Linked DNA regions of Nothobranchius furzeri. The protein of the gene in region 1 purifies or fractionates together with the protein of each later gene. This does not show direct contact. Links are inferred from orthologs where the notes say so. Each region holds a gene or a part of one and is shown in the gene's direction. Other genes may lie near its edges. The genes, in order: serum response factor, myocd and mrtfab.

Region 1 (10,396 bases):
GCCAAGCAAATGGCCTTTTTTCATAAATGTCTTGTTTTTATTATATTTGAGGTGCTTATCTGACACCACAGATGGGTGAGAAACCCCGTTACGTAAACATCATCATGTTAGTTGCAGGAACCGAGCCAATCATATTTAGCCTGGAACGTCCACGGAGGTCCCGTTACGTTTTATTTTGTTACAAGACGGACCATCGCGCCAGATAAACGTGTAAATAATGTAGAAGCCATGCACTAACTTCACTTAAAAGAATATCCCTCTTTTGTTTGTTTAGAAGGACATGCAGGTGCCTGTTTGTTTATGATGAAGGTCCTGTTTACGTTTGTCATGCATTGTTTATAATTGGTACTTTGGTGAAGTTGTTAGGTTGGTGTTCAGTCTGGTACATAACTGAATAAACTAACACTAAATATAAAAGAGTGACTCGCGGTCACCAGATAAGTGCCTAGTAAATGAAGGATTATTATTAACAATCTCCCTTTTTCACGTTATCTAATCGATGGCCTTTGTTTATGAGCTGGGTTTTATGTTTTTATTGTTTTGGTGTATGATGTTTGTGTTTTTTATATGAATGCTAGGCGCTCACACCTAGACTTTGTTTTCTTTCATCTTTCTTCAGCAAATGTTCACAGTAATCATGGATATATTCAAAAGTATACATGCTGCTGTCAATAAACATTCACAGTGTTTTTACTCATCACGAGATCGTCTGAGTTTCGTGTGTCAGCATTTAGATTTGGCGAAGAGATTCAAATGAAAAAGTCACGCTCCCTTTAAAGGAGACGAGACTCTCTGAAGGTACAAAGGTTGTACCGTCGATATAAAACATGTTAGATCCCTTTCACGTAGTGATTTCGGCTGTTTTGTTCTTGACATTTTCAGTACCTTCCAGAATGAGTCGTTTCAGGGCTCTGTCACTTTAAGAATTTAACCTGAGAAGCTCCGACATCCGAGAGGGACTCGCACTGGGGGGCATCAGCAGCGGGACCGTTTTTCTGGGGAAAAGTCCACATGAAACGGCACTCCCATCTTTTCCATCCTCCTTTTTGATCACCTCGGCCAGTTTGGATCGACCCCGACTAAAATGACTTATTTTTGTAACTGCGATGTTCCGCTTTCATTCCACGCCCCCCGATGAGAACCAGGCTTGAGAGGAGAGCCACTACTCCTCCAGCAGCAGCTCTTTTACACATGAGAGCTAGTTTTATTCCCCATTTGTGATGTCACAATAGGAGGGAGGTTTTTTTCATGTTTTGAGTCTTTATGAAGGATGCGTAAACTTGCATGGAGGCAAAAAATTATGCGACAGGTGAGTATGTCTCCCTTAAAGCAGTGCTTCTGAACTTTGAAGTGGAGTTTCATGGAAAAGGCTACAGTTTTGAAGGCACTTGACTGACCTCGTTGTTTGAGCCTAACTAATCTGTTTCTCCAAACTGAGACCCTTCGTAGTGCTGTCTGTAAAAGATAAGAAATTAAAACTCACATTTCTACAAAAACATTTTCTTCACAGTATATAAATGTTTCTCAGTTGCAACACGTTTTTTTTTAACCACATGATTGTTTTGTCTACCTAAATATGGAAAAAATGATCTTGTTTCCACTCGGCAGCAGTGTAGAGATGCAGCTTCCTGTTGCACCTGTTTAACACATGAAGACTCTGGTTTGCATGTCATTTCTGCAAGTTAACCATCATAAAAATGTCTAAAATATGCAAACATTTGTTGAGAATATTATTGAAAAGAAAGCGTAATGGTTGGCCTGTAGGTCCTAATGCACGAGTCTGCAACTTTTACAATCCAAAGAGCTGTTGTGGACTGGGGTCCACCACAATAAAAGTGTTTAGAACCCCAACTGTTAAAGGACCTTAAAAAAAAGAAAGAAACTTCTTTATGCCCTAAGATGGTTATGGACAATTTTTCTTGAATTTTTCGAAAAAAATTAAGTCTGTTTAGATTTTTTCTCAGATTAAAAAGTGAAAAATAATGTTCTTTCATAAATATCTACTATGAGATGTTCATTTTCATTAGGTTTTAAAAAAGAGGATATGGTTTCCCATGGGGTGTAAAAAATTAAACGATATTACCGGAAATTTTTGTTTCATTTTATGGAAAATTCAACAAAATTATTCCATAAATTTTTTTTAAATCTGCTTACCCAGATGTATGAAGACACTGCGGAAGGTCCAAAGAGCCGCTGGTTCTGGTTTAGCAAAAGAACGTGCACTTCCCCGGGTTCGCCTCTAGGGGGTGGTATACAACCTCAATCTAATCTAATCAAAGATAAAAACCTTGTATTGCTCCAACTTAACATTTACTTTCTGATTTGAACTTGTTGGGGGATTTGTGACATTTCTCCATTGTGGAGTATTAAAATTAAACATTTTGTTCACAGCCAACTTCACACCTGTTAACGAGGCTTCACTTGAGAACATATTATGGTTGGATTAACGATCAATATATCATGTCATGATTCTGTTTTACATCATAACACAATTCTGTTTTTAGTTATTTTTTTCCACTGATCTCTGGTGGTAATAAAACCCCTTAGCGAGAGGTTCTGGCATCTTTCCTCTTGATGTTTGGTTGAAGTCAAATCAAAACGTTATACCTGGGGTTTGTTGCAACCTGTCTGTTGCAGGAGGTGGGCGGAGTTCACAGCCATGTTTACAACACTGATAAAAACAAATTAATTAGGATTTTCCCTCTTAATACATTTTAAATGTAGCTTGGTCTGCTAAAGAAATGCAGTTTTGTGTGACAAACATTTTATTTACAATTTTCGTACAGGTTTATTAAGAGACATTATATTGGCAAAAGAAAACATTTAATTTTTGCCGTTTGAGATTAAATAAGTTAACGGCACAATGTTTAAATCACTACAGACTGAGGAGTTTAGAGGTTTTGTGGCATGACGGTATATTCATGAGGGAGATGGTGGTCAGATTATTTTAAACTCTAAAGTAAAATTATGAAAACATGTTAACACTTCAAATGATTCTAAAGAAAGCCAGGCTACCTGGAATCTAAGCATAACAAGTAGAGGAGTGGCTTTGAACTTGTGCACATACCGCTGGTGCAGATTCTCAAAAGTGCACCTGAAAGAGGAGTTTAGCAGTTTTTATGAAGGAGAAACTCTGGCGCAAACCCAGCTTGCGCTATGACTTTGTGCAACCTGTAGGGATAAAGTTGTGTGTTATTGTTGTGATGGTGTCTCTGCATGCCCACGGTGACGTCGACATTAGCGCAACCATTTTGGTATTTATTGTAATGAGCGTGTCCTGTCGACCAATCACAGCGCTAGTCAGATAATCCTCAGCCAATCAGCGAGCGAAGCTGTGACTCGCCAAATAAGGAGAGACAGCACCAAATAAGGAAACGTTGTATCTCTTTATAAGGAGGAAAGTAGTTCCCCGGTTAGGATATCCCTCCGCCGTCAGATAAACTTTTAAAATGAAACACTTGGCGGTGATTCAGAACGACGAAGCGTGAAGCATTTAAACAAAATGGTGTCACGTGTGATGTGTAGTTGGGTATCGATTGATATTATTGTTTCATTGGTCTCACAATGTGGACTATTTGGCGCGGCGTAGGCATATTTGGGACGCTGTTCGCGCTTTCCTTTTTGAGAAAGTGCTGGGAGTTTTGGAGATAGAGGAGGAGGGTGAACCAAACCGAGCTGCGTTGACGGGTCCTGGGGGCAGCATCACTCTCGAAAGTTTGTATCTGTCATTTCCCGGACTCTCCGAACCGACCTCCGGCCTGGCTTGTTTACATTTATTGGGCCCAAGCGTGTGTCGGTTCTTCGCGGTACACCACGCTCCAGCTTTCCGGGCTGGCGGTAGTCTTCTCGGGCCACCAAATAGAATGTTACCCAGCCAGCTTGGGTCGGCACCATCTGGAAACGGGTCAGCATTAGGCAGGGGTACCACGGGACACGGTTCGGAGGCTGTCGGTGGCATTCGCCCCGTCTTAGTCCGAGCAGGGCAACCTTTAGCTGGGGTGAGTGAGAGCGGCGGAACTGCGGGGCGGCAGGGGAACGCTGCAGTCGGGATGCTGGGGGCAAACGGTCCGGGAGGTTCGAGAGGCGCAAGACCGGGAAACGAAACCGGGGCGAACCCTCTGCAGACAGCAGTCCAGGGAGGAAACATGATTGCGTTAAACACGGGTGTCGTGTTGCCTCACGGAGCACGATTCAACCCGGACCGGGAGAGCCACGGAGCTCACCTGTGCAGCGGCTCGGATAATGACTCCGACTCCGGGGATGACGACGACCCAGTGGGGTCACTCGGGGACGGCAGGAGAGGGGTGAAGCGGGAGAGGGGGGAGATGGAGGCGGCTGCGGCTGGCCACGAGATGGGGGTGGCTCCCGGAGGATACGGCATGGTGGCCGGAGTCGCCGGGGCAAAGCCGGGGAAGAAGACACGTGGGCGGGTAAAGATCAAGATGGAGTTTATTGATAATAAGTTGAGACGGTACACGACTTTCAGCAAGAGGAAGACGGGCATTATGAAGAAGGTGAGTCAGGTGACACCTGCTGCAGCGCGTGAGCTGTAATAAATGGTGAACGGGAAGTCGGTTCTGATCCACGCACTGTGTTTTGTTTTTATGCAACAAAAGAATTCCTTCTGAGACCCAACGGTCGGTGGATGTGAGGAAGTCTGAGCTTTCATGACGGGCAATGAGCTGGAAATAGACTTGAGCAAATGACAGTTCTATTAATGACCACCCCGACACACACACACACACACACAGAGGACCGGACACACTCATTCATTCATGCATGCACTCACTCACTCCTCCGGTCGGGTCCAGGTTCCTGCTGGAAGGTCTCCAGCGCAGGCTGTTCCCTCCTTTGCAGCCATGTGGCATTGAACTGCAGTGTGCCATCAGCTGACTAAACCCCAGGGAGAGATCAGGGATGGCCGGAGAGCACTTACACACACTTACACACTCCGTCCATGCGTGATGGCACCAGCTCATCCAGCCTCATCACTGTCTTGGTTTCAGCTTTGTTTGAGTGACAACCCAACAGGTGACTCTGGAGATGATGATGATGATGATGATGATGATCAAGCACCCTGCTACTCAGGCCCCATGTGAAGACACTTTTTGTTTTTGTGTTTTTTGTAACATGCTTCTGGAAAACAAAGTTCAGTATCAGACTAAGATAACCCGAGTCAATACAAAATGCAGTTTTCACAAGCAGTCATGATCAATGTGGGAAAAGTACAACAAATGAAATCAAGTCTTATCCTCTCGTCTTTACAGAATAGTTTTAATTCAGTCAAATTGGAGGGTTGTCAAAGCCTAGAAGTCCAGGTCGTCGTTTGCTGAAGCAAAATGATTTTGCTCTGCATGTCATAAATAGGATGGCTTGCCAGGTTGAGTTTTCCACCGTGAAAGGTCTGTTTAAGGTCAGACGTGCTTCTCCAGGATGTTCTGCTAGAGAGCAGAATTCATGGTTCCACCAGTTGCAGTGAGTGGTCCAGGTCGTGGGGCATCCCCAGACCATCACACTACCACCACCATGTCTGACTGTTGCTATGACAATGTTTTAGTGTGACACCAGGTGGAACTGGACACACACCTTCCACAAAGTTCCACAGAACATTTTCCCTGAAGTCTTGGATCATCATGATGCTTTTTTAATGTGAGATGGGACTTTTGGTCAGTGGAGGTTTAGGCCTTGGAATTGTCCCGTGATGCTGTTTTCCCATCATTTCTTTCCTGTAGAATTGTGACCCTTGACCAGCTGAGTATATACCGTCCTGGAAAGCAGCTGGGTGTGCCTGCTGGGACTGAACTCGCTTCATAACGGGTCCAAAGTTTATTCATGATTTAACAAGGAGGCTTTTACTTTTCCATGCAGGATCAGGCTGGTTTGGACAGATTTCCTTCCCCTTTCAAAAAAAAAAAAAAAAAATCATTTGAAAACACAAGTTTGTATTGACTCGGGTCATCTGTTGTTTTTCTCGTCTGAAACTGTTAAATGTGACAAAGAGCAAAAACTGAAGAAGTACTTTTTTCGTATCCAGTAGTTACATTCTGTTAAGTACTATTAAATATGAAAACACAGTCATTCAAATAAAGAATGACTTAAATGTGGCAACAAGTCATGCACAGTTATTATAAAATTAGCTGTGAATCACAAACAGAGCCGTGCAGTGGACTTTAAACGATGACTCTAATGTAAAGTTGTGCTTTATTGTATGTTTTTGCAGAACGCGCTCTCTGCACTCTGCTGTGTTTCTTTTTTCGTGCGTTTCCCAGACTGTTGTCGTGGAAACTGGGGTGTCTTTGTGTAGGCTCTTGGCAGCATCAGCACCATTTGACACAATGTTGGGGTGGAAATGGTGAAAATGTTGCCCACACTCCATGCCAGCCTTTACAGAAATCAACAGGTGGGTGGAGTGGGAAGATTCATAGTAGTTTGGGTTCATCCCAGTTTGAGACCAGTCTGTTTTGAAGCATGTAATAAGTAAAGGAGGCCTGTATGTTCTTACACCATAGGTGTCTGGCATCTACACGTAAAGTCTAGTTTGACATCTAAAACGTGGTTTTTTGTCCGTGTGTGTACATGTTTCATTGCATGCCCAGAGGAGGGCTCTTTTCGTTTTTCCTTCAGCTGTGACTTCACTTGCAGAGCTGTTTTTAGCACCTTTCAAGCTCTTTTCACAGCAGGATCAGCAGAAGAAATGACTAATGATGTTATTAGGAGGCGAGCTCTGTTTCTTTTAACTTCTAGTATCTAATAGTCAACAGGGTATCCGCGGGTCCTTAAAAAGTCTTAAAGTCTTAAATTTGCTTTTCCAAATTTAAGGCCTTAAAAATCCTTAAAAATGACTAATAATCCTTAAATACAGTTTCCAGAGGTCTTAAATGTCCAAAGACCCAATAAACAAGATCCTTTTATTTCTACAAAATTTTCATAAATTTCTAGTTGGTGTTCAGCATTTTTTGTGTACGATATTGGCGTAAGCGGAACCGTACACATTCAGTTGGTTGTGAAAGGGGGCTATTTTTAGATGAGCACATTAGCTGTTTAAGATAGTGGGAGTTTGCGCCATGGGGAAGTGCAAGTTTAATGGTAACTGGATGGTTAATCCCACGTTGGCGACGTGGTTAGCACCGGTTCCAGGCAGTAGCTGGAAATTATAGCTTAAATTAAATTTAAAAAATTTGCTTAAATTTGGTCAAAGTGGCCTTAAAAAAGGTCTTAAAAAGTCTTAAATTTGGCTCCCTTAAACCTGCAGATACCCTGAGTCAAGCCTGGAGTTTATCTGCTGAGGCTCACTGATGCTGGTTTCGTACAGCTCAGACCTGCCAATGCCGCTTTTGACACATTCAGATCCACTTCAAACTAGAGATGCACCCACAACGGTTAAGAACAGATAACAGTTTCTGCAGATGCTGATGTGTCTCAAAGAACAGAATGAAGTTCAGACTTCTACATGGAAGACCTGTAATTGCTATTGCAGCTTGTTTTTGTATTTGTACAACAGCCACTAGAGTCCTCCTGATTACGAGGCGGGCGCTTAACAACTCTGCCTCTGTGACCCATTATGCATCACTGCTTGGTGGTGGTGTGATTGCTAAACACATGACCAGGTCAAGGGATGTTCAAGAACGTATTTATGTTTAAATTAATATCCGATATCCTTAGACCTGGGACGATAACTTTTGCCGGACGATATATTGTCCAACAAATTATTGACGATATTATCGAGACCGAAGTAGCCACTTATGTAATGTTAATATGTCATAATAATGCTTTAAAATGCAACTATTACACTGTTATCTAATACAGGAATGTCCAGAAGCAGAACTTCTAAATAAATAAATGCATAAGGACTTTCAGTTTGTTACAAAATATTGCACCAAAAACATTAGATAGTAGAGGTGCTGAAAAAAAAGTCGATTCAAGTCTGAATCGGGACTCTTATTTATAAAGGTTCGGAATCGATTCCAGGAACTCAAATGTTTGGCATGTTACAGGTTTGAGACGCACTTTTGTCTGTTGTTTTGGTCTTTGTTAGGAGAGTCGGTACTCCGTTTACTTTTGTGGTCCCATAAACTGGGATGTGTCATTTTTGAATCTGCTGATAAGTGCGGACTAGAATGTAAATTTTTTTCCATGCTCAGAAATTTGATATTCTCATATTTATTTTCTAAGTTGATAAGCGAGTACTCAGGATTACTCGTGTTTATTTGAAGTTATTGATAAATGAGAGAACACATTTTCCTTTGTAAGAAATCTGAGGCACTTTTTTAAACAGGTCTGGGACTCAAATGTTAAACTTGTTTCCACAGATACTTAAAAAGTATTTGACTGTATTACTTTCAAAGCTACTGTTAGGTAACTAACGATTTGTTATATTTTATAAGGTAAGCAAAAATAAATGTAGCCTTTTCGTCAAAAGATTGCTTCTGTTTACAGTTTTAGAATCACTTTAATTTACCTTGTAAATTAGCATATTTTTTATTTTTAGCATGACCAGTTTAAAGTAAAATAAAATTTCCCAAAGCTTTAACTAACTTGCACAACAAAGTAGTTAATCCTACAACTGACACTCTTTGTTAATACTGATTGTGAATCGATTTAAATCGAGAATCGATTCTGAATCGAATCGGCACCCCGAGAATCGGAATCGAATCAAATCGTGAGTTGCTCTGAGATTCACATCCCTATTAAATAGACCCCGTCTCTCTAAAACCAATAAATAAATAAGAAAATGATGGACCACCCTGAGCATTCTCTTCACAAGACTGTCCAACAACGGAAGAGTGTCTTCAGTCAGAGGCTTCTTCAGTTTCGCTGCAACACTGACCGCTACTGGAGATCCTTCCTGCCAACAGCCATTGTAATATACAACACCTCTTTGATGACTTGATTATTATTATTATCATGAGCTACTACAGCAATCAATTTCCCTCTGGGATTAATAAAGTATTTTTGAATTGAATTGAAATACAATGGCCTATCTTGTGTCAACTACCAAAACCACTCATAAAGGGACTTTACGGAGTTTTGAATTTTTATGCTCGCGATTGCCCCCTCAGGCCAAAAGCGTAATGGCAGCTTCAATAGTAGGCTCGTGCACGAGGCGCGCATGCTGTACGTGCACACTCCTTAACGAAAATAACAGCTGAGACAGTCCCGTGTGTGTGTGTGTGTGTGTGTGTGTGTGTGTGTGTGTGTGTGTGTGTGTGTGTGTGTGTGTGTGTGTGTGTGTGGCCCGGAGGACAGAGGACAGGAGAACGCGCAGCTAATTAATTAAATAATTTGGTTCTGTAGCTTTCTCTTCAGCACAGCCGACAAAGGTTTATGATGGGTCAGTCCTCCTGCATGCGCAGATCATTCCCTTCCCTTGCTTGAAAAATTGTTCCAAAATGAAAGTTGAACCCACATCTTTTTTATCTGTGAATTCAATGCCGTTCGGCGAGTCTCAAATAAAAATTTCGGTATCTTACTGTAAAAAAAAAAATACCATTAATGTAAAAACTAAACTCTAAATAATCTATGTTCACATCCAGAATCGAACCCAGGTCTTCTGCACGAGAGTCCGCTGTCTTACTAGGTGAGCTATAGCATCAGTGACACCTTTTGTATCTGTAACATTTATATCCTTGATGTAGGGCTGCTCGATTATGGCAAAAATAATAATCACGATTATGGTGACTGAAATTGAGATCTCGATTATTTAGGACGATTTTTCAATTTATGTTGATTTTATTTGTTTTTATTCAGTCATAAAATTGCTCAGGGCACAATCAGGACAAAAATAAGAAACAAGATGATCACTAAAATAACTCCTGATTCCCAGTATAAAAAGACCAATATACTTATAGCTCATAGTCTATGACTCAAGGGCTATAGACCTTGGTTTAACTCATTTAAGTCTAACCAGTACAGACCTAAATACCAATATCTTGCAAACACTGACAGCAAGAATTATACAGTGGCATTTATAACAAATAAATGTAAATAAATTGATGTTCACAAAATGTTGCATAACATTTATTGAGTCGTGTCAAGGTGCTGTAGGAGAGTGCACTAGCACCGTGTCCTCAGAGAGATTAGTTATTATTTATTAGCGTGAGGAACTTATTTCTACCTTATTTATAAACTATTTATTTACGGGTCCATCAGTTAATGTAATAATTGTCCCAACCACAGCTGCACCCCCCACCCCCCAACCCGCTCTCACAGAGGAGCGCTGCGGGACGGAGCGCGTGAGCCCCCCAGCCCCCCGATGGCCGAAGCCGCCATGCTTAACTCATTTTCTGGGGGAAACCCTGTATACTGATATAGTCAGAGTCCTAATTTCTGATACAATGGAAACCGATGCAAATGGAAAATAAGCATCATTTTATGTATCTAACATCCAGTTTTGGGC
Region 2 (10,058 bases), on another chromosome or scaffold:
CAGAAGAAGCTACAACGATGTTCTGCTGAGCTGTGGTGGCCTCATGGAGGGGGCTATCGTCTAGCACATTGCTGCTAACCACTAAAACATTCTTCCTCTCCTGATAATAACTTTTTGCTTTCCTTGACGTTGGATGTGCTAATACTAGTTTATCCGTTTAATTATAGATCCACTAGGATAAATACTATAAAGTTTATCTCTCGCCAAATAGAATATTTACTAAGAAATCACAATATAACTATAGACACATTACTTGTCTTTGTGTGTGTGTGTGTGTGTGCGTGCGTGCGTGCGTGTGTGTGTGTGTGCTCTGTCTTCTCGATCCCCAGTTTCGTTTTGTTTCGTTTTATTGAGATCCTCATTAGCTTCTGCCTAAGTGCAGATGCTAGTCTTCCTGGGGTCTCATACATTTTCATACAGTTGTTTACATGAGATAATACCCTTTACACACAAACACACACACATTCACGCACACACATCCCTAATTCCCATAATACCAGTAGCTCAAGATGAAATCACATATCTAGAACAAAATTACATATATAAACTAATATCGGGAAAGGAGTTAATCACACCAATAAAGATTGAAAATAAAATATAACAGAATGGCGACATCATGTCCATTGTTTCGTATCATAGTTCATCGATATTCAGTACTCGACCTCAAACACAGATTTTCAATCCTTCGTTGCAGAGTTCATAGTCACTATACAATTAAGTGTGTAAACAAAAAAATTTTCTGTTTCTTATGAAAAGAAATGTTATTACTTTCGAAAATTAAAAATCTAGGCAATGCATTCCATGCAGTCATAGCTTTATAGTGAAAAGATTGTTGAATTTGATTTGTTCTACTGCGTGGTAAAATACATTTCATCTAATTTATCTGTCGTGTATTATAAGTATGATTATCTGAAAAAAACAATAATTTGCTATGTATCATTTTTGGTGTTTTTGTAATTATTATTTTCCTCACAGTTGTTACCACGAAATACTTTAATCTACTCTTCACATCAAGCCAAGCAAGTTTTTCATGCATGGTTCCCACATTCGTTCTGTAAGGGCAGCCTAAAACAATACGAGCAGCTTTATTTTGTGCAACTTGTAGCTTATGCAAATTATTTTCACTTGTACTGGACCAAATAACAGATGCTTGATCTACACAAGAAAGCACTAATGATTGAACAAGGCATTTAAGTAAATATTGTGGTATAAATTTGCAACAAAATTTAATTATGCCCATACCTCTCCCCATTTTGCGTAAAACATAATTAATCTGGCTTGTCCATGATAATTTACAATCAACTATAACTCCTAGTAATTTTACTTCTTCTAGTTGTTCTATTACGTTGTTACTCAGGGTTAAATGTAACTGGCATCGTCTGTAAAGTATGTTTGGAGCCAACTACCATGCATTTAGTTTTTCCTGCATTAATCACTAATTTGTTAGCAGTTATCCACTGCTCGACTGTTCTTAACTCTTCATTTAATATTTCATTCAATGCACTCTCCGTATGTGCTGAAGCTAAAACAGTAATATCATCTGCATATACTGCTGTAGTCGCATGTTGCAGCACCCACGGAAAATCATTCAAAAAAATAGAAAACAAAAGTGGTCCCAAACAACTTCCCTGTGGAACACCACATTCCATCAGACCCTTTTCAGAAAAACTGCCATTGAAATAAAATTGATATTCTCTGTCAGTAAGATAACTTTTAGTCCAGTTAAGAGCAGATGTATGAAATCCATAGTGTTTAAGTTTTTGTAATAAAATATCATGATCTAAAACATCAAAAGCCGCACTTAAATCAAGAAATATAGAACCAATTAGCTTATTATTATCGATATTCTCTAAGCAATAATCAGTTATTTGAATAAGTGCAGTAGTGGTTGAGTGATTCGTTTTGTAAGCATGTTGATATTTTGTGTTCATTTCATATAACTCAAAATAATCTTGAATTTGATCATATGCAATTTTTTCCATGATTTTACTTAAAGCTGGTAGCAAACTTATTGGTCGACTGTTTTGAACAGACAGTGGTTCTCTATTGTTCTTAATTAAAGGTATTATTTTTGCTGTTTTCCATTGAGATGGGAAAATACCTTCTTTAAAACTTCCATTTATTATATGAACAATAGGACATGAAATAAAATCTACTACTAACTTTAACCATTTTATATCAATATTATCTATGCCAGATGGTTTATTTTTACTTTTTAATATTATCTCCTTAACCTTGTCTTCAGTCACTTTATCAAATTGAAATTGGCAGTTTTTATTTAACATTATTTTTTGTTTAATTAGATGATAGGAAATATTTTTGGTTTGACTATTTTCCATAGAATCTCGTAACAACTTAATTTTATTAGTTAAAAACTGGTTTAAATAATTGGCAATTTCTGTTGGTTTAGTGAGATAAGTTCCCCCTACATCCAAAAAAGTTGGAGCTGACCTATTATGCCTACCCATCATTTCATTCAATGTACCCCATAATCTTGCACTATCCGATTTTGCATCAGTTAGTCTTTTTTGATAATACAACCGTTTTTTTATGATTATTAAATTTAGTTACAAAGTTTCGTGATCTACGATACTCTTTCCATTTATCTGGACTATTAGTTTTTACTGCTTCATTTTTAAGTTTATCCCTCTGCCTCATATATTCTTTTAATTCTTCATCCAACCATGGAGCAGATACCCTTCTCACAGCGCGTTTCCTTATAGGAGCATGTCTGTCTAACACCTTTGTGAACAATTCATTGAAAACTGCTACTGCTTGGCATGGATCATCTTCACTTAAAACCTGTGTCCAACTTATTTTCCTCACATCTTCTATGAAGTCATCTTCATTGAAATATTTAAACATCCGTCTGCACACAAATAATTGGCCTTTTTTAGGCATCTTTGTTTTCCTTGTTACCGCAATTAAACTATGGTCGCTACAGCCCACTGGAATCGAAACGGCTTTAGAACAGTGAGTCGTGGAGGATGGCTGCTTATACTGAGCCAGGATTCTCTGGAGGTTTCTTCCTGTTAAAAGGGAGTTTTCCTCTCCACTGTCGCTTTATGCTTGTTTAGTATGAGGATTGCTGTATAGTCACTGACACTAGTCAGTGACTCGATGCAACCTGCTGGGTTCCTTATATAGGAAACATTATTTCTGATTGGCTCAATGAACTGACCTGTACTGGAGTGTTTACTGTGTGAAGGTCCTTGAGACGACTTGTCGTGATTTGGTGCTTTATAAATAAACTCGAATTGAATTGAGCCGAAGATGGCGCTAGACTGATGTTTTTAGACAGAATTAAGAGTTTTCAAAGGAAACGCATCAAAATGCAAAAATAATGACTACACATGTCTACAACACTATTAGACACTCATTTATACTAGTTATCAGCTAAAAAAGTTTATTTTGCTCTTTAGTGAGGAGAGCGAGGACGAGTCAGAGGGAGAAGGAGCAGATCCTGACACCTCTTGGGTAAACTAAATGTTTTTATTAAATGTTCCTCCCAGATCTGGAATATGTGAGCGATCCTTGAGAAACATGATACCGGCCACATGGATGGCATCATTGAAAGTGGACGTTTCCTAACAGTGTTGGAGAACAGGCCGACATGAAAGCTCACTTTGCTGTGGCTTTAAATATGACAGGTTTTCCTTCAAATGCATCATAACATGTCCTGAAAATGTGAGCGGACTACTGCGCGTCATAGAGATGCTGATTCGGGAGAGGATCACTGCTGGACTGATGCACGAGAGCTTGATTCACACCCCCAAGAGCCATGTGATCTGTTGCTGAATTCTGTTCTGAATCTGATCTTGGTCTTCCTCTCTACTCTCTAATGACAGCCAGAGCTGATAGGCAGATATATTTATCCTGGTGGCAGGGGAGGAAGAAGTCATCAGCCAAACCCTGAAATGCCTCTGGGCTGCAGCAGGCGGGGCTTGGAGGAAACCCCGGCCTGGGCTGGCCCCTCCGTGAGTGGGCATATCTGTGTGTGTTGTCCCCAGCCCCACTCAGAACTCTCATCTGGATAGAACCAAAGCCCCATCAGAGCCGCACACTCACACATCAGCTGCTGAGGGGAGAGGGAGACGAGGAAGGCAGCAGATAAAGGGCCGGTGTTGAGAGTGTGCACAGCCTGTGCAGCTAGGAAGCCTGTGTGTGTGTGTATGTGTGTGTGTGTGTGTGTGTGTGTGTGTATTGATGAGGCAGCCAGGGACCAGTTTGTCTCACATGAGTCTACGGTCCAGAAGAGGTCACTTCTTACATGTTTTCTTCACCGTTTTGATGCGGGACCTCTACTAGGATCAGAATGACTCTCCTGGGCTCTGAACATTCTGTGCTGATACGAAGCAAATTTAGATCAGGTAAGTGCACTGACCTTTGACCTTTCCCTGAAGGCATGTCAGAGCTTACAGTGTGTGTGAGTGTATGCGTGCATATGCATGCGTACATGAGTTTGTGTGTGTGTTTGTGAAATTGTCAGACAGGTTTCCTCTCTGTAGTGATCCCCATAAAGATGGATGTTGTAAAGTTCAGAGGTCAACCAAATATGACAGTTTGTAAAAGCAGAGTAGGTCCACGTGGGACCAGACCACCGTGGGTCTGTTCCATCCCAGAACTTCAGGTTTACGTTGAACTCTGTGGTTACAAAGCAGCAGACGGCTCATCGTAAAAGCAGCTTTCAAATGTAAAGGTGTGAACAAGCCGAGTCGAACACGCAGCCAACAACCCGAATGTCACAGATCCGTACCAGAATCAGCGCTTTGTGACAAATTTGTTTGGATCAACTGTTTTAAGAAATCTTAAAGTTTCAGCTTTTAGTCCACTTTGGTCCCGGCCTCAGTGGGACTGTTTTTCCAAGCTGAAGGTGTTCAAGTTACATCATTCACAGAGCCATGGCTCTACTTATTCACATACACAAACTTTTTGAGCAATTAAATAATACAAACAAAACCAGTTGAAAACATTTTGGGGCAACTCAGCCTTCAGCTAATGCTAACGGTGCAGGAAGCCGGATGATGCTAATGGTGTGTTAGTTTGGTCCGTGTGAGTTTCTCACTGAGGACCCGTCTGGATGTGTAGTCTGACCAACACTGCCACCTCCTGAGGAGAGCCGGACCGCTGAAACGACTCCAGCAGCTCCTCTCAAGAAGACGGGACTCCTGTAGATCAGAGTTGCTCTTCGCCGTGCTCCCACTCAGCCCGTGAGCTTTAGCTGCATTCCTGAGATTGCTGGCTAAATGTCACTTTTCCTTCAAGTGCGTTATAGAGCTGGGAAATGACCTTCCACGCTGCGCGGAGCACCGGGCTTCTCTCAGAGGCGGCTTTGGGCTGTGTGTTAGGGTAATGCAGCACAGATGTAGAGATACTGTTATATGCAAGTCTGCCTAGCGTCACAGGAATCCGCACCAACTAGAGCTGGAGGAGGTTTGTGAGTGTATCTGAAGGATATCAGCCTGGAAATCTGTGTGCTGACTGCTGATGACAGGAGGGGTCTGTGAATGTGTGCTGCAGCAGCTCCAGTGACATGCAGCGCTCTGTGAAAACTACAGATTGTTGATTCTTTTCCACCACAGTAGAACAACTCGCCATGGGAACTGCTGCTGCTCGGTCCTAGCCTTAGGGAGCAGTCAGCTGTGTGTGAAAACGGCTGATTGTCGCTGTTTCTGTGCTGCCTGACCGCTTTATCAAAGCCATGGGAACTGCTGAAGCGTTGTTAAAGGCGTGGAACACTAAAAAACCATGTTTAATGATTATTTATGATTATAATCATCCCATTTTTGAGTTATTGGGTCACACTGAGTGTTTCATGAAGGCTGAACATGAAAATAGTCTCCTACACCTGTCTCCTGCATTAGCTTCTGATAGAAAACAGACGGTGAAACTCTAGGATTAGAAAATCCTGACAGATCTACGTCACACTGTAACTTAACATTCATGGGCTCACCCATCTGGACTCACGACGGGGAAGGCTGTTGTTGGTTTAGTGTCCAGGAAACAGCAGAGAACTAGTAGAAGCTAACTGTTAGAATTAGCAACCCCACCACATAGCAGAACTCCTCCAGGCTTGTGTTATTTGTGGAGACAAAATATCTGACTGTAGAGAAAACAGTCAGTGGTAGAGTCAAGTTGCTGTCAGCCAATCAGTTGAGTGATGCCCCAAAACCAGGAAATAATTGCCGTGTTCAGCTCTCCTCTGATGCAGGGGCGTGTCCAGGGAGTAGCCTGGGGTAGCACATGCCACCCTTGGAATCTGATTGGCCACCCCAGGTGCCACCACACTAATTTACCTTTAAATAGGCTTTTCATTGTCTACAAAAGGCTTGGGGGTAAAACAAGAAAGCGTAACTGTTGGTGCCACCCCTGCACAAAGGTGTGCCTCACCTGGGCCACCCCATTTTAATGGATCTAGACACGCCACTGCTCTGATGTAGCATCCTGCTGGTTTCTGAGACATTCATTCCTCTGCTAATGTGTTGATTAAACGAGTGAACCACATCTTAAATGCTGCAAAGAAAGATAAACATCTGATGTAAAAGTTAAGGTCCAGATGAGGGTTTGTGGAGTGCTGTTGGGAGGGACTCGAGCCTTCTCAGTAAAACCGTTGTTGTTAACGCGGGATATCCAACAGTCCTGCTTTTTATTTTTATCTCAGATGATTTCAGATTAAACATCCAGTCTCAACCTCTAACCCGCAGATCGGCAGACGAGAGACTTTAAACAGATTAAAGTTAGTTTCACGTTTTTGTACAGAAAATAGTTTACAAATGTTCTAAACCACAGATGAATGTGTGTGTGTGTGTGTGTGTGTGTGTGTGTGTGTGTGTGTGTGTGTGTGTGTGTGTGTGTGTGTGTGTGTGTGTGTGTGTGTGTGTGTAAATGGTCACGCCAGTCAAAAGTCAGCTACTTCATCTGTTGCTGCAAACATAAACAGCAAACATTTGAACACGGAACATGCTAAAGTGAAAATCCGGACAGAAAACAAAAGGTGTTTTACTTCATCAGCAGCGACAGAAGAAAGGAAACTTCCAAGTTCTGAGAAGAACCTGATGGAGATGCGGTAACGCGTCTCTGGATGTTTACGGGAGAAGGTTCTCTCCATCGAACTTCTAGTGGTTCCTCAGAAACATCAGCTGTTAGCAAACGTCATAAACCTAGTTTTATTTCCATTCGTTCAAATGACGTTTCAACAGACGCTTTTAAGTTTCCTTTAATCCGTTTAGATTCAACCAAGGTGTCTGATTTTACCTTAAAGGGGTCAGGTGAGCCCCAGGTGCTTTTTTATTTATTTATTTTTTAGGAGTGCACCACATCGCCCTTGCCAAGAGGTAAACTGTCAACCATGTTTATCCAGCCTGGAGGGGTCACCTGACAGGACAGTGGAGGGTTAATGGTGATTGAACAGCCTATCAGAGTCGAGGACTCCAAAGAGCGTTTCACTGAGGAGACGCACTGACAGAGGCGAGGTCGCTGCACACAGGCGCCACCGTCTGTGACAGCAGCAGCTCAGGATGTAGAGCGGGTCGTCCAGTAATCAAAAGGTTGCAGGTTTGATCCCGGCTCTGATCAGAGAATGCTGCCGTTGTGTCCTTGGGCAAGACAATGAACCATTTACCATGCTCCGGTGGGGGCCGGGATCAATCCCTCAACCTTGGGATTACTGGCCGACCCGCTCTACCTCCTGTTGTTATCTGGTGGAAAAGCACGACAGCAGTTGTTGCTACAGGCTTGCATCTGAACGTTTTCCCTCGGCTTCTGACTGACTTGTGTTTGGTGGTGCGCTGGACGCTCTTCCCCTCCGCCCGGCTGGGCCACACGGAGCCAAGCCTTTATTGCTGATTTTCTACCTGCTAAAGCTATCTGAATATTGTCTGAAAGGTACATACCTGCATCTATTTAATGTCTCGGTTGTAATCATGACTTCCAGTGAGAACCAGTAACATTTGCAGTCCTCCAACACTGAAAGTGAATGGCACTCTGGCAGCACTTAAAACCCCTCAGCTGTGTTATTTTTCCCCCTTCAGCAGAAATCTGAATCAGCTTACACGGTTAACCATAGGTCACTGTCAGTGGAAGCTCTCCAGAACCATTCAGGGTGGAGTGTTGTCTCCCTGCAGTCAGGTTCTGGCTCTCGTTTGAAAATCTGACTCCAACTGTTGGGAACCGTTGGAATAAAACATGCAAGGGCTGTTTCAAGGTGGATTTCCACTTCATGCAGAGGCATTAGACGAAAATAAACCCAAAGCTTCACTTAGAAATACCTGTTTATTAGACGCCGGGCAGCCATGCTCATTCATCTGTCAGCAACACATTCCTGTTTGTGTTGCAGAAAGTTCAGAAGAATTCAAATGACAGATCCTTCTGCTCTGATTAGTCTGGCTGTTGCTGTTCAACTTTCTAAGTGTTGTTAGTATTACCCATTTTGTTTCTGTTCCAGGCACCGAAAGACAATAAATTACACTATCGCTGGTTAATTATCTCCACTTCAGCTGCACAGACCAGGCCAAATCATCATTTATTTACACTATAAATCTGAACACTTGTAAATGTGGCCGTGGATTTGTATGTCCTTTGTTGTCAAAGGACCCCATGCCGAAACAAATGTCTTCGGTTTCAAAGTCAACACTGCGCGAGGCTGAGAGCAGCTGAGAGCACGGCTCACACACGTTCACCGTACAGCCGGCACCAGGCAACACTTGTTAACCAAAAACCAGATCTGACGGCAGCTGCTTTGCTGTTTCACACAGAGTCTTTACTGGCAGTAAGTAGACACTTTTGGTGTTTTACCACGGTGTTTGGGAAGTGGAAATATTTCTATACAAGCGTCAAAATTACCAGCAGCAGCAAACTGCAGCGCTTTAGGGACCAAGATGTTGTTGTTGTCCCATCTTCTGATCCACGTTCATTATTATGACTTCTTTTAGACCACAGACAAAAGAACATCAAGTTGTTAAAATGAATTCATAGTGGTCATGTAAGGGATCACAGCATAGGGAGACAGTTTACCTACACAAGATCCTAGAGTCTGTTTCCTTATTCCTGCTAGCACTACAGCTATTGCTTGGGGTGGGGGGCGCCAATCAGGAAGTGAGTGTATGTCTGGCCAATGTCTGTGGGGTGAGGGTGTAGTGGGAGGTGCATGAACAACCAATGTCGAAGAGGGGGGCTGCTGGAGAGTGGACAAGCGAGGACAAGTACGACAAACAAAGGCTCTGCCTGGTTTTCATTCATAGTACATCCAGGAATGTGAGGGGTGCTCCAACATTCTCCTGTGTTGTTTTCCGCTCATCCAATTAGGACATTAGCGGTAGCTCAGACTAACGTTTTCTGTGGTTAGCATTGCCATGACCAACGTTTACATCACAGGTTTCACATGACGTAGCGTCAGGGTTTGAATTACGGGGAAGCAAAGGAGAGCCCAGCTCACCAAAAATTGTGAAGCACTCAACTTACACGCCTACGTGAATTAAGCTTGGTTTATGCTTGACGCGTCCGCGAGGTCCACACGGCTCCGCGTGGCAAAATTGTGTCATTTTCACAACCACGACCCTCCACCGCGCCTCCGCACGGCCCAAAATTTCCGCAACGCACACCTAGGAAATTTTCTAACCACGCGGACGGTCGGACACAGAAAAACATGGCGTACTGGCAAGAACTAGAATGGCAGAGGTTGGTAAATACAGACATTTGTATGATTCAGCTCTCAGAGATCACCGTGATCAACATGTTAATAATTCTTGGAGAGAAATAGCTCGCACTGTCGGAAAAGACGAGGATGCTGTTAAAAATACTGGAATGCCAAGTTGTAAACAACAGTAGTTTTTACTTCTACTATGGTGTAGTGTTGGATGCATGCCGTAGAGCTCCATGCTGCCCCCTACAGTTTGGGAGAATATTGGTTCACCGCAGAGACAAGCCACACGAACCATAAACGCTGCGAGTTGTGAAGCGCGTTCCATCCGCGAGCCGCATCACCAAGCGGAAAGTGAATGCATCAAGCATAAACCAAGCTTTCCATTGTTTATGTGGACTCTCCGGAGGTCCTTTTGAGC
Region 3 (9,517 bases), on another chromosome or scaffold:
TCTTCAGTCTAGCCTAAGCGCCCGTTCCTGTCTCTCCTCCTGCAGGTCGCTGAGTTAAAGCAAGAACTGAAACTGCGTGGTTTGACCGTCTCAGGAACAAAGAACGATCTAATCGAGAGGCTCCGCAACTACCAGGAACAAAATCTCAGCAACGCATCGGCTCTGAAAAACAACAGCCCATCTCCGTTAGGTCAGCAGGGCTTTACCTCGGCTGCTAACACCAGCGCTTCATCTCCGAGCTTCGTCCCCGAGCAGCCGCCCGCAGAGGGAGGGCTCAAGCTAGCTCTGTCCTCGTTGGCTCAGGCGGTTCCGGGTCGGGTCATGAGGTTTGGGAGCACCAGCTCCAGCCCTCCGGTGTCACCAACGCCGTCGGAGCGGTCACTGGCTGGGCTGAGTCCAGATGAGACGAGCTGCAATGGAGATATTTTTGGAGAGATGGTGAGACTTGGATCATTTTAGGGTGAATGTTTGTTTCTGTTGGTGTTTAAAAGATCTTCTCTTGTTTTGGTTCAGGTTAGCTCTCCACTCACCCAGCTCACCCTCCACCACTCCCCTCAGCACCCGCCAAACGTTTCTCCTCTCTCCCAGCCTTTCTCTGTTGTCAAGGAGGAGATTCAGAGCTCCTGCAGCATGTCCAGGAGTTCATCTGGACCTGTCCAGCCCAAAGACTCCCTACATGGAGTCTCCATGGACATATCCTTTATGGACAAAGACCAGATGCTCCAGGAGAAGGACAAACAGATTGAGGAGTTAACCCGGATGCTGAGGCAGAAGCAGAGGCTAGTGGAGACTCTGAGGTCACAGCTGGAGCAAGGCAAGATGGCAGGTGGTGTGGTGGTGAAGAAAGAAGGAAATGAGAAGAGCAGAACATCCCCAGAGGTTAAGCTCCAGACTCTAATAAAAGCCTCAGCCATTCAACCCCCCGTGCTCCCTAATGGCACCGTGCTGATGGTGAAGGAGGAAGTGCAGCCTGAGAAAGGGATGGAGGGGGTAACGGAAGAGGCTGAATTGAAGAAGCCGCCCCAACCCATGCAGTGCTCTCAGGAGACTCTGCTGAGGCTGCAGCAGATCCATCGGCTGCAGCTCCAAGCTGAGCAACAGAAACAACAGCACGGCCAGCTGCAGAAAAACACAGAGGTCAAAACAAACCCCCAAAAACAGCAGCAGAAGAAGAGGGAGGCCCAGATCCTGCTCCACCAGCAGCAGCAGCTGCAGCAGCTCATCATCCAGCAGACCCAACAGAAGCAGCTCCAGGCCCAGCAGAAGTTAGCACAGCAAAAGCTTGCACAGCACAAGTTAGTCCAGCAAAATCAGGCCAAACAAGCCCAAGATGTCCAGTCTCAGCAGAAGAACCAGGTCCAGCTAAAGCAGGTGCAGGTGCAGATCCAGAACCAGACGGTGACGAGCCAGAAGCCTGCAGTGAGCCAGACCCAGCTGAGGAAACAGCTGAGGGCTCAGCAGAGGCAGCAGCAGAGGCAGCAGCTGAAACAGGCAGCAGCAGCAGCCACGCAGCAGGTGATGCTGTTTGAAACGGGCTAAGTGCTATAAGCTAAGAGCAGCTAACTGACTACAGCTTTTATTAGGACTTAAACAATGTTTGTCTCTGGGTGGTGAGTGTTTATTCTGCACTGCCTCATCTCTCCTGCTGGAGAGTTGTCCAGATGGGGGGCAGTGTGAGAAGCATGTGGGAGGAGCTAAACACACAGTAATTAAATGTAAATGGCTGATATGGTCATTTAAGTTATTGCTTGATGGATAACACTTCATCATTCCTTCACTTCAGATAGAAAAAACTAAAATATAGTTTTATTTGCCTCCAGGTGACTCCAGCCATCAACCAACAGAACGGCACTCCTCTCCACACTCAAGCCATTTCCTTAGACCTTAAGGCCAATGGCACCCCAACACTGGTCACCGACAGCAACGGCAATCACTACCTGATTGCTCTGACCAGTAACAACTCAGACAGGCCAAACAGAGTCTCCTCACTGGCCAAAATCAATGGACGCATCACATTGCAGGTGCAGAAGATACCATCCTCTGATAGAACACACCAGCTTCCTACTGATGTCAGAGTATTCATCTGTAAAACATCCTTGTCTTCCAGAGATTGCAGTCTACTCCAAGTAAACTCCCCAGCACCGACAGCAAGTCTAAAGAACCACCTGAGGAGGATCCTGTGAGCCAATCAGACGAGAAGGTAAAAGTAAATCCCGCCCTAACCTGACCTGTTAGAAACTCTTCATGTGAGAAGATGACTGCACATTCAAATAATCTGATTTCTGTAAAAAATAACATGCATTAAACCCTCTGGAGGCAGGCGTTGCAGATTTGCAATGTTAAAACCTACCTACCTGGTCACTCCACGTACGTACTTCATGAGCATTTTCTAACTCAGAAGTACCGCTGAAGGACTTAGTAGTTCGTCCTTTTATCAAAACTCATTTTGAGCCTGAGAGGGTTAAGCCGGGCGTACACTGTGTGACTTTTTCACTTTTTTGAGCCGATTCTCCACTCGTGCAAGAATCCACGAGATCGGGGCGAGTTCTGCGCTGAGCGTCGTGTACTAGGGCTTACGAGAGGCGATTAACACACGTGACCAGCTACCGATCAGCAATCGTGAGCTCGCACGGACATGTGTTTGATATTTTGCTCGTTCCTCCTGAGGGTTGAAGCAGCGCAGCGAGCGGCTGAGACCCAAAAAGTTAAAGTTAAAGTCCCATTAGTTGTCACACACACAGATGTGTGTGCAAAATTTGTTCTCCGCATTTGACCCATCCCCTGGGGGAGCGGTGAGCTACAGACACAGCCGTGCTCGGGAACTATTTGGTGGTTTAACCCCCCAATCCAACCCCTTAATGCTGAGTGTCAAGCAGGGAGGCATTGGGTCTCATTTTTTCTAAGTCTTTGGTATGACCCGACCAGGAATCGAACCCCCGATCTCACAGTCTCAGGGCGGACACTCTACCACTAGGTCACTGAGCTGGCCAGAACCGCTCACGGCGCATGCGCAATCCTGCATCAACACCGCTCGCCCGCTATTTCCCTAATAACACACGTTGTTTGTTTTTATTTCTAAACGTCTTTTTTTACACACATTGACAAGGATTGTCAAGAAAGCGTGTTTGTCGTGTTCATGTCAAATTAAACTGATCACAAAACACAGATTTACTTTCTTTATTTCGTTTTCCTCATCCAACCCCCATAAATCCCTGTGTGTCCTCCTGCAGCACTCCCGAAGGACAACAGGCAAAACAAGACTAAACAGTCTGACGTGTTGTGTAAAAACTGCTATTTTTAGCATATTTTTAGGGCCGACGTGTTGCTACCAGACGTACAGTGTGAGCAGTCAGGTCGCATGCGAGAACTGGGTCGTGCAGTGTGAGCACATGACTCGTGAGATCTGCCCTGCGTACAGTTTGAGCTGAAGCTGAGTGCTACGAGTGAAAAAGTCGCACAGTGTCCGCCCGGCTTTAGTCTGATACATTTGTCACGCAGTAAGACCAACACACCACTAGGTGTCGTCATTGCCTACTGAAACCCTCTCAGCCTGTCCAGGTTTCCTGTCTGATTCTGTCCTCCACTTGTCCTCAGGAACAGAAACCCGGTCCGCACCTGGACACCAACGGCGTTCCTCAGCCGAGCCCCCCCCTCACCGCTCCGCCCAACCTACAGCCTTTCTTTGAGGACATGTCAGACACCGAAAGCCAAGTCAGCCTGATGTCCTCCCTGAAGGTTAACACCGTCCTCCTCCTCTTCCTCATCAGACACATCCCACCTCTGCTTCTCCTCTCATCTTATAAACGTCTGTTTCCTTTTTCTCTGCTCATTTATCCATCCCCCCCCCACCCCAGCAGAGAGAGGAAGTGTGTCTGCCTTACGACCGGCACACACTCTTCACCCCTCCTTCTCCTAAACCCAACACCTCCCTTCCTCTTCAGCGCTCCAAAGTACGTCCTCCAGCTTCTCTGTTCGTTCCATTTTTCTTGTATTGATTGTTTATGTCTGCACCTGATTTTCCACCGTCTCTATGAGCTGCTCACGTTACTGAACTTGGAGGACGAGGATTGAGGCGCCTGTCTGACCAGCTTCTCATTTTCAGCCTGTTTGGTTTATTTGTCCGCTTTTCATCTTCCTAATGCATCCTGCGTTTCCCGGAACGACTCTGATCAGTCAGGTGTTAGCTGTCGTGGCAAAAAGGGAACTCTGCTCGATCTGATTGTGTGACATCTTGTGCCATCACTAGAGATCGAGCATTGAGTGACTTTAAAGATGCAACAGAACCATTAGCTGTCGTTTCACCATGTAAGATTAAGTTCATTTGAAACTGACACAAAGGTTAAATGCTGAGCAAAACTAGATTCTGGCTAGCCAAGCTTTGATGAACTGTTATTGAAGTTGATGCTCGAATTAAACACCCGATCTCTCACTTATCGTTAAGGTCAAAGGTCAAGCAATGACTGTGTTTTAGTGCAGCGAATGGCTGTTTCATCTGTAGCTGATGTGTGTGTGTGTTACCAGGAGAACGGTGTGAACAGCCAGCAGATGGATGACCTGTTCGACATCCTGCTGAAGAGTGGAGGTAATAAAATGTTTCAACCCCTGAGACAGACTCATGACATCACCTGTCTGTCTGAAGTAAAAGACCGTCTGTCTCTCCTCAGAAATCCCCGGCTTCAAGGCCAACCCAGACCCTTCCCTTGCTCCGCTCCACTCCAGCCCGCCCTCCCCGTCTACCCTCCCGTCCCCACTCCACCTGTCTTCCCCCACCCCCACAGAGACGCTAGTGTCCCCTCAGCCGTCTACAGGCGAGTCATGCACGGGCAGCGGGCGCTTGGAAGACTTCCTGGAGAGCACCACAGGCACACCGCTGCTGGGCATGGAGCCCGACGGAGACCTGACGCTGATCGACGACCTCCACAGCCAGATGCTGAGCACGCCCAGCATCCTGGACCACCCCCCGTCTCCCATGGACACATCTGACTTGGGGTTCTCCCCTCCTTCTGCAGGTTTGGACTTTGGTGTCCCCTCTTTGGACAGCATGGACTGGCTGGACATCTCTATGGGGACTGAGAGTGGAGGCAGCGAGGACAGCAGGGTCAGGAGAGGAGGAGGTGTAGCAGGTGAGCGAGACGGGGGGACGAATTTAGCCCCGCTGGCACCACACACTCCCCCGAGTGTGTTCTCAGCTGACTTTCTGGACAGCACGGACCTGCAGCTGCACTGGGAGTCGTGTCTGTAGCTGGTGGACAGGCGGTCGCTCACACTGTACAGGCTCTGTATTCACTTCATGCACATACTTCTCTATGCTGTCTCTACCACTGCGGGAGGGGCACCGGCACATTTAAACGCACACTCACACGGTTAGTCACTGGCTGTTTCTGTACGCAGCTGAGGCGAAATATGCAAAAAGACGTGGTTGTAGACTCCACAGAAGAGAAGCTGAAGTGTTGACCTGGGTGAGAAGCAGACTGGTTCCTGCTGGAGGAATCAAACAGACCTGCGCTGTAACTAGGTTTAAGTCATCCGAGTCCTGACTGAAATAGCAGTGTGTGTCCGTGCCTCCTAAACTTTGCACTTATGCTGAAGCTGATTGGTTTGAAGGAGACGTCGAGCTCAGCAGCTGAATCTCCGCGCTGGTCGGTCGGATCGAGAGAAGACCACCGTGCGTTCTGTTAATCAGCTGACCGCTTTTCAACGTGGCAACCTGACCCCACACACACTCAAACAATCGTCACTGGTTGCCAGTTGAATTGAACCATATCAGCAGCAACGGTTTGAAATGCAGCCTCGTTGGAGGTTTTGTATTATTGGTAACATTATGGTAGACCACTATGTATTGCTGTATATGGGGTGTATATTATCAAATGTCCATAAGACTATTTTTCTTTGCTGGTTGCTTTAGAGTCGAGCTCGCCGGCTGGGGAGCAAGGGGCGGGGCTTCTAAAACACTTTGTCCTTGTCATTTTTAAAAAATAAACAAATCATAAAAACACATCGGATGCAGTTGTTTTGGTCATTTCTGCATGCTAGCAGTCCATCAGCAAAGACAGAAACGCATAAATAATCCTAATCTGAAATATGACCACTAGTTAGAAGACTGCTTTAGTTAACTGTAAACGAGGTAAGGTGGGGTGAAAATAGGAAACGACACTAGAGGGCGCTATTGTTTACAAACACCTTTAATCAAACTGGCTTTCAGGCTCGTGTTGACGCAAAAACCAAATGTAAATAATTTTTCAGCCGGTAAGCATTGTTGTGCTTTATCCTGACAATATGACCCTTCAAATAGATATGCGCTCAAATAGTGTAAAAATGAACTCAATCGCTTTATTGATCATTCGAGCTACTTTTACAGGCACAGTCCTGATCCAAAGTTTAAGGCAACTGTAAAATTCATGTTTTGCCTGATTGGGTCTTAAGAAGGCCACAGGTTGAGCTTCAACATGCAACAAGAAGAAACGGGAGTGAGACAAATCCTTCTGTGAGCAGCAATTTATTGAAAACGAAGCTTAAACTGAAGCAGGCTGTTAAAAGGCCATATTGTGTATAAATTAGGATTTGTTGGGGTTTTCTATCAGGCGATCACATCGTCATGACGTTCTGATGGAAAAGGAAAGCAAATGTTTCCATTTTGAAGGTGGTTGAACTGCAGTAGCAGGCTCTCTCACTGCTGAGGTGAGACGGTTGTCTTAAATGACCCTGAGGGTATGGAACAGAAACGTTTCATCAGCACTGAGCTGGAGGTCCGGGGTCTGATGAGAGGAAGTTTAACCTTGATGGTCCCGATGCTTTCCAGCATTACTGGCATGACAAGCAGATCCCAGAGAGGTTTTCTATGTGTAGAGGGGGTCATCATGGACAAGGTGCTTTTTCCTTCTGCGGAACAGTGGAGCTGCAGGAGGTGCAGAGACATCAATGGCTGCTGGCTGTGTCCAGATGTTTGACTGAGGGCCTGTTCTGTGTGGTAACCACTGGGTTTTCTACAGGACTGTGCTACAGTACACAACACCCACAGGACAAGGGACTACTTCTAGGAAAACATCACTCTTTTGGGCCATCCTTCATGTCTCTGATCTAAAACTGATGGAGGACCTTTGAGGATTTATGACAAGGGAGGTTGACAAACATGAAGAGTTCCAGACAGTGGACGTCTTCACCGCTTGGAGAAATGTTCCCTCTCACCTCATGAGCAAGCATGTGATCACCGATGGAGCTACTCATTACTGAGCTCATGTGTTGTTTGGAACCTTCATTTCTGTTTTATCTAAAGCTAATTAAAATAATTAGTTTTTACACCTGTGATAAAATATCTAAAATATAATTTTAAATTATTCACGTTTTATTTTGGCGATTTGGTCTCTTGAGTTGCATTTCGTCATTCTTGTCGTATTTTTTAGGTCTGATCAGTGTCTTTCACACAATCAGACCCAAAATTGGTGTGAGCAGCAATGAAGCCCTAATTATTACTAATAAATCGTGAAGCATCTTGTTTTTGAAAGTTTCAATTTCAATAATCTGCTACAATCTCTCTTCTCACCACATGTTCTCAGCCTTACGTCTGCAACATCCCTTAAACCTGTCTGGGATTTAGAGTTGATGCTTTATCTTCTCTCTTCTTTCCCCAGCCTCCCCATTTCCCATCCTCTGAAATTCCCCAACAAGCCCTCTGCAGCGCTGAATCCCAGACTCCAGCACCTCCAACCAGCTTTCACAGTCACTTCTCACACAGACACGTGGGGCAGAGCAGCTCCCCTCCACAGTTGACATCTCTCTCCCATTTACAAAGCAGATATAAGTCCAGAGGCCATGCAACTAATTAACTAGTCCGCTCCAAAAGGCAGCAGCACCACAAGGACTAAAGATCTGTTCTGTATTCCAGGAGCCTGAGGCCAGCACTCAGGGATGAAGTTTAACCAGTGCAGCTCAGAAAAAGTTTTTAAAATAAAAATAGAAACGTGGAAAGAATTCATCAAAAAAGTGACTGAATAATTTTTCTTCTGATTTTCTAGATGTATTATGACAAAATTGTTAAACATAATGTTTGGAGAGCCTTTGGTCCATGGGTCTCCTACTGCCCAAGAGATGAATAGAAGATGGGAAATTGCTGCCCTCCGGTGGCTATTTGCTGTAACTGCACCTTTTTCATTTTAGCCATTTAGAATTGAACATTGTAGCCTCCTTGTCCTAACGAAGCTTAAAAAATCTTAATATTTTTAGTAAACATTTTGGGAATTATAAAATTATGAAGGAGAAGGAGGAGGATTTGAAGGAGATGAACCTGTTTTAGTAAAGGTAAAAGACTTCCTTAGCAGAAAGACTATCTAATTTCTTCCAAAGACTGTTTTTTTCCTTTAAAAATTTCATCTCAATGCTGGCAATAAACAGAACAGCATTATATTTCCAATAGCAGTTAATAAAAGGAAGATGGGGAGCTGCTGTCCTTCAATGGCTGTATCCTGAAAAAGCACTTTGTTCGTTATTGCCATTTAGAAGAAAATATTTTAACCTCCTTATTTTAATGAAGCTTTAAAAAAAATTCCAATCTTTATTTTAAACATTTTGGGAACATTAATATTGTGGAGGAAAAAGTGGAGGATTTGAAGGAGAAGATGGATCTTGATTATTAAAGTTCAAATCCTTTCTTGGAAGAGACACTACATCTAAATTCTTCCAAACACAAGTTTGTTTTCTTAAAAGAATGGGAAATTTGCGCCCTCTGCTGGCAACAAACAGCAGTAAGAAATAATGAGAAGATGGGAAATTGCTGCCCTCCGGTGGCTATTTGCTGTAACTGCACCTTTTTCATTTTAGCCATTTAGAATTGAACATTGTAGCCTCCTTGTCCTAACGAAGATTAAAAATTTTTAATCTTTTTAGTAAACATTTTGGGAATTATAATATTATGAAGGAGAAGGAGGAGGATTTGAAGGAGATGAACCTGTTTTAGTAAAGGTAAAAGACTTCCTTAGCAGAAAGACTATCTAATTTCTTCCAAAGACTGTTTTTTTCCTTTAAAAATTTCATCTCAATGCTGGCAATAAACAGAACAGCATTATATTTCCAATAGCAGTTAATAAAAGGAAGATGGGGAGCTGCTGTCCTTCAATGGCTGTATCCTGAAAAAGCACTTTGTTCGTTATTGCCATTTAGAAGAAAATATTTTAACCTCCTTATTTTAATGAAGCTTTAAAAAAAATTCCAATCTTTATTTTAAACATTTTGGGAACATTAATATTGTGGAGGAAAAAGTGGAGGATTTGAAGGAGAAGATGGATCTTGATTATTAAAGTTCAAATCCTTTCTTGGAAGAGACACTACATCTAAATTCTTCCAAACACAAGTTTGTTTTCTTAAAAGAATGGGAAATTTGCGCCCTCTGCTGGCAACAAACAGCAGTAAGAAATAATGAGAAGATGGGAAATTGCTGCCCTCCGGTGGCTATTTGCTGTAACTGCACCTTTTTCATTTTAGCCATTTAGAATTGAACATTGTAGCCTCCTTGTCCTAACGAAGA

What was found.
Region 2: the proteins of serum response factor (region 1) and myocd purify together in Homo sapiens (affinity purification with western blotting; 3 studies listed by BioGRID and IntAct, with this or other methods). This does not show direct contact. The link is inferred for Nothobranchius furzeri from reciprocal best matches to the Homo sapiens genes SRF and MYOCD.
Region 3: the proteins of serum response factor (region 1) and mrtfab purify together in Homo sapiens (affinity purification with western blotting; 4 studies listed by BioGRID and IntAct, with this or other methods). This does not show direct contact. The link is inferred for Nothobranchius furzeri from reciprocal best matches to the Homo sapiens genes SRF and MRTFA.

Annotation. Positions count from the first base shown.
Region 1 is NC_091752.1:3,798,818-3,809,213, forward strand, and holds the start of serum response factor, read left to right. Parts: upstream 1-3,518; 5' UTR 3,519-3,863; coding exon 3,864-4,514; intron 4,515-10,396. UniProt on the Homo sapiens protein: SRF is a transcription factor that binds to the serum response element (SRE), a short sequence of dyad symmetry located 300 bp to the 5' of the site of transcription initiation of some genes (such as FOS).
Region 2 is NC_091756.1:4,141,934-4,151,991, reverse strand, and holds the start of myocd (myocardin), read left to right. Parts: upstream 1-4,168; 5' UTR 4,169-4,315; coding exon 4,316-4,370; intron 4,371-10,058. UniProt on the Homo sapiens protein: Smooth muscle cells (SM) and cardiac muscle cells-specific transcriptional factor which uses the canonical single or multiple CArG boxes DNA sequence. Acts as a cofactor of serum response factor (SRF) with the potential to modulate SRF-target genes.
Region 3 is NC_091756.1:27,814,704-27,824,220, forward strand, and holds the end of mrtfab (myocardin related transcription factor Ab), read left to right. Parts: intron 1-45; coding exon 46-438; intron 439-513; coding exon 514-1,515; intron 1,516-1,820; coding exon 1,821-2,021; intron 2,022-2,107; coding exon 2,108-2,200; intron 2,201-3,594; coding exon 3,595-3,735; intron 3,736-3,854; coding exon 3,855-3,950; intron 3,951-4,521; coding exon 4,522-4,582; intron 4,583-4,664; coding exon 4,665-5,242; 3' UTR 5,243-5,997; downstream 5,998-9,517. UniProt on the Homo sapiens protein: Transcription coactivator that associates with the serum response factor (SRF) transcription factor to control expression of genes regulating the cytoskeleton during development, morphogenesis and cell migration.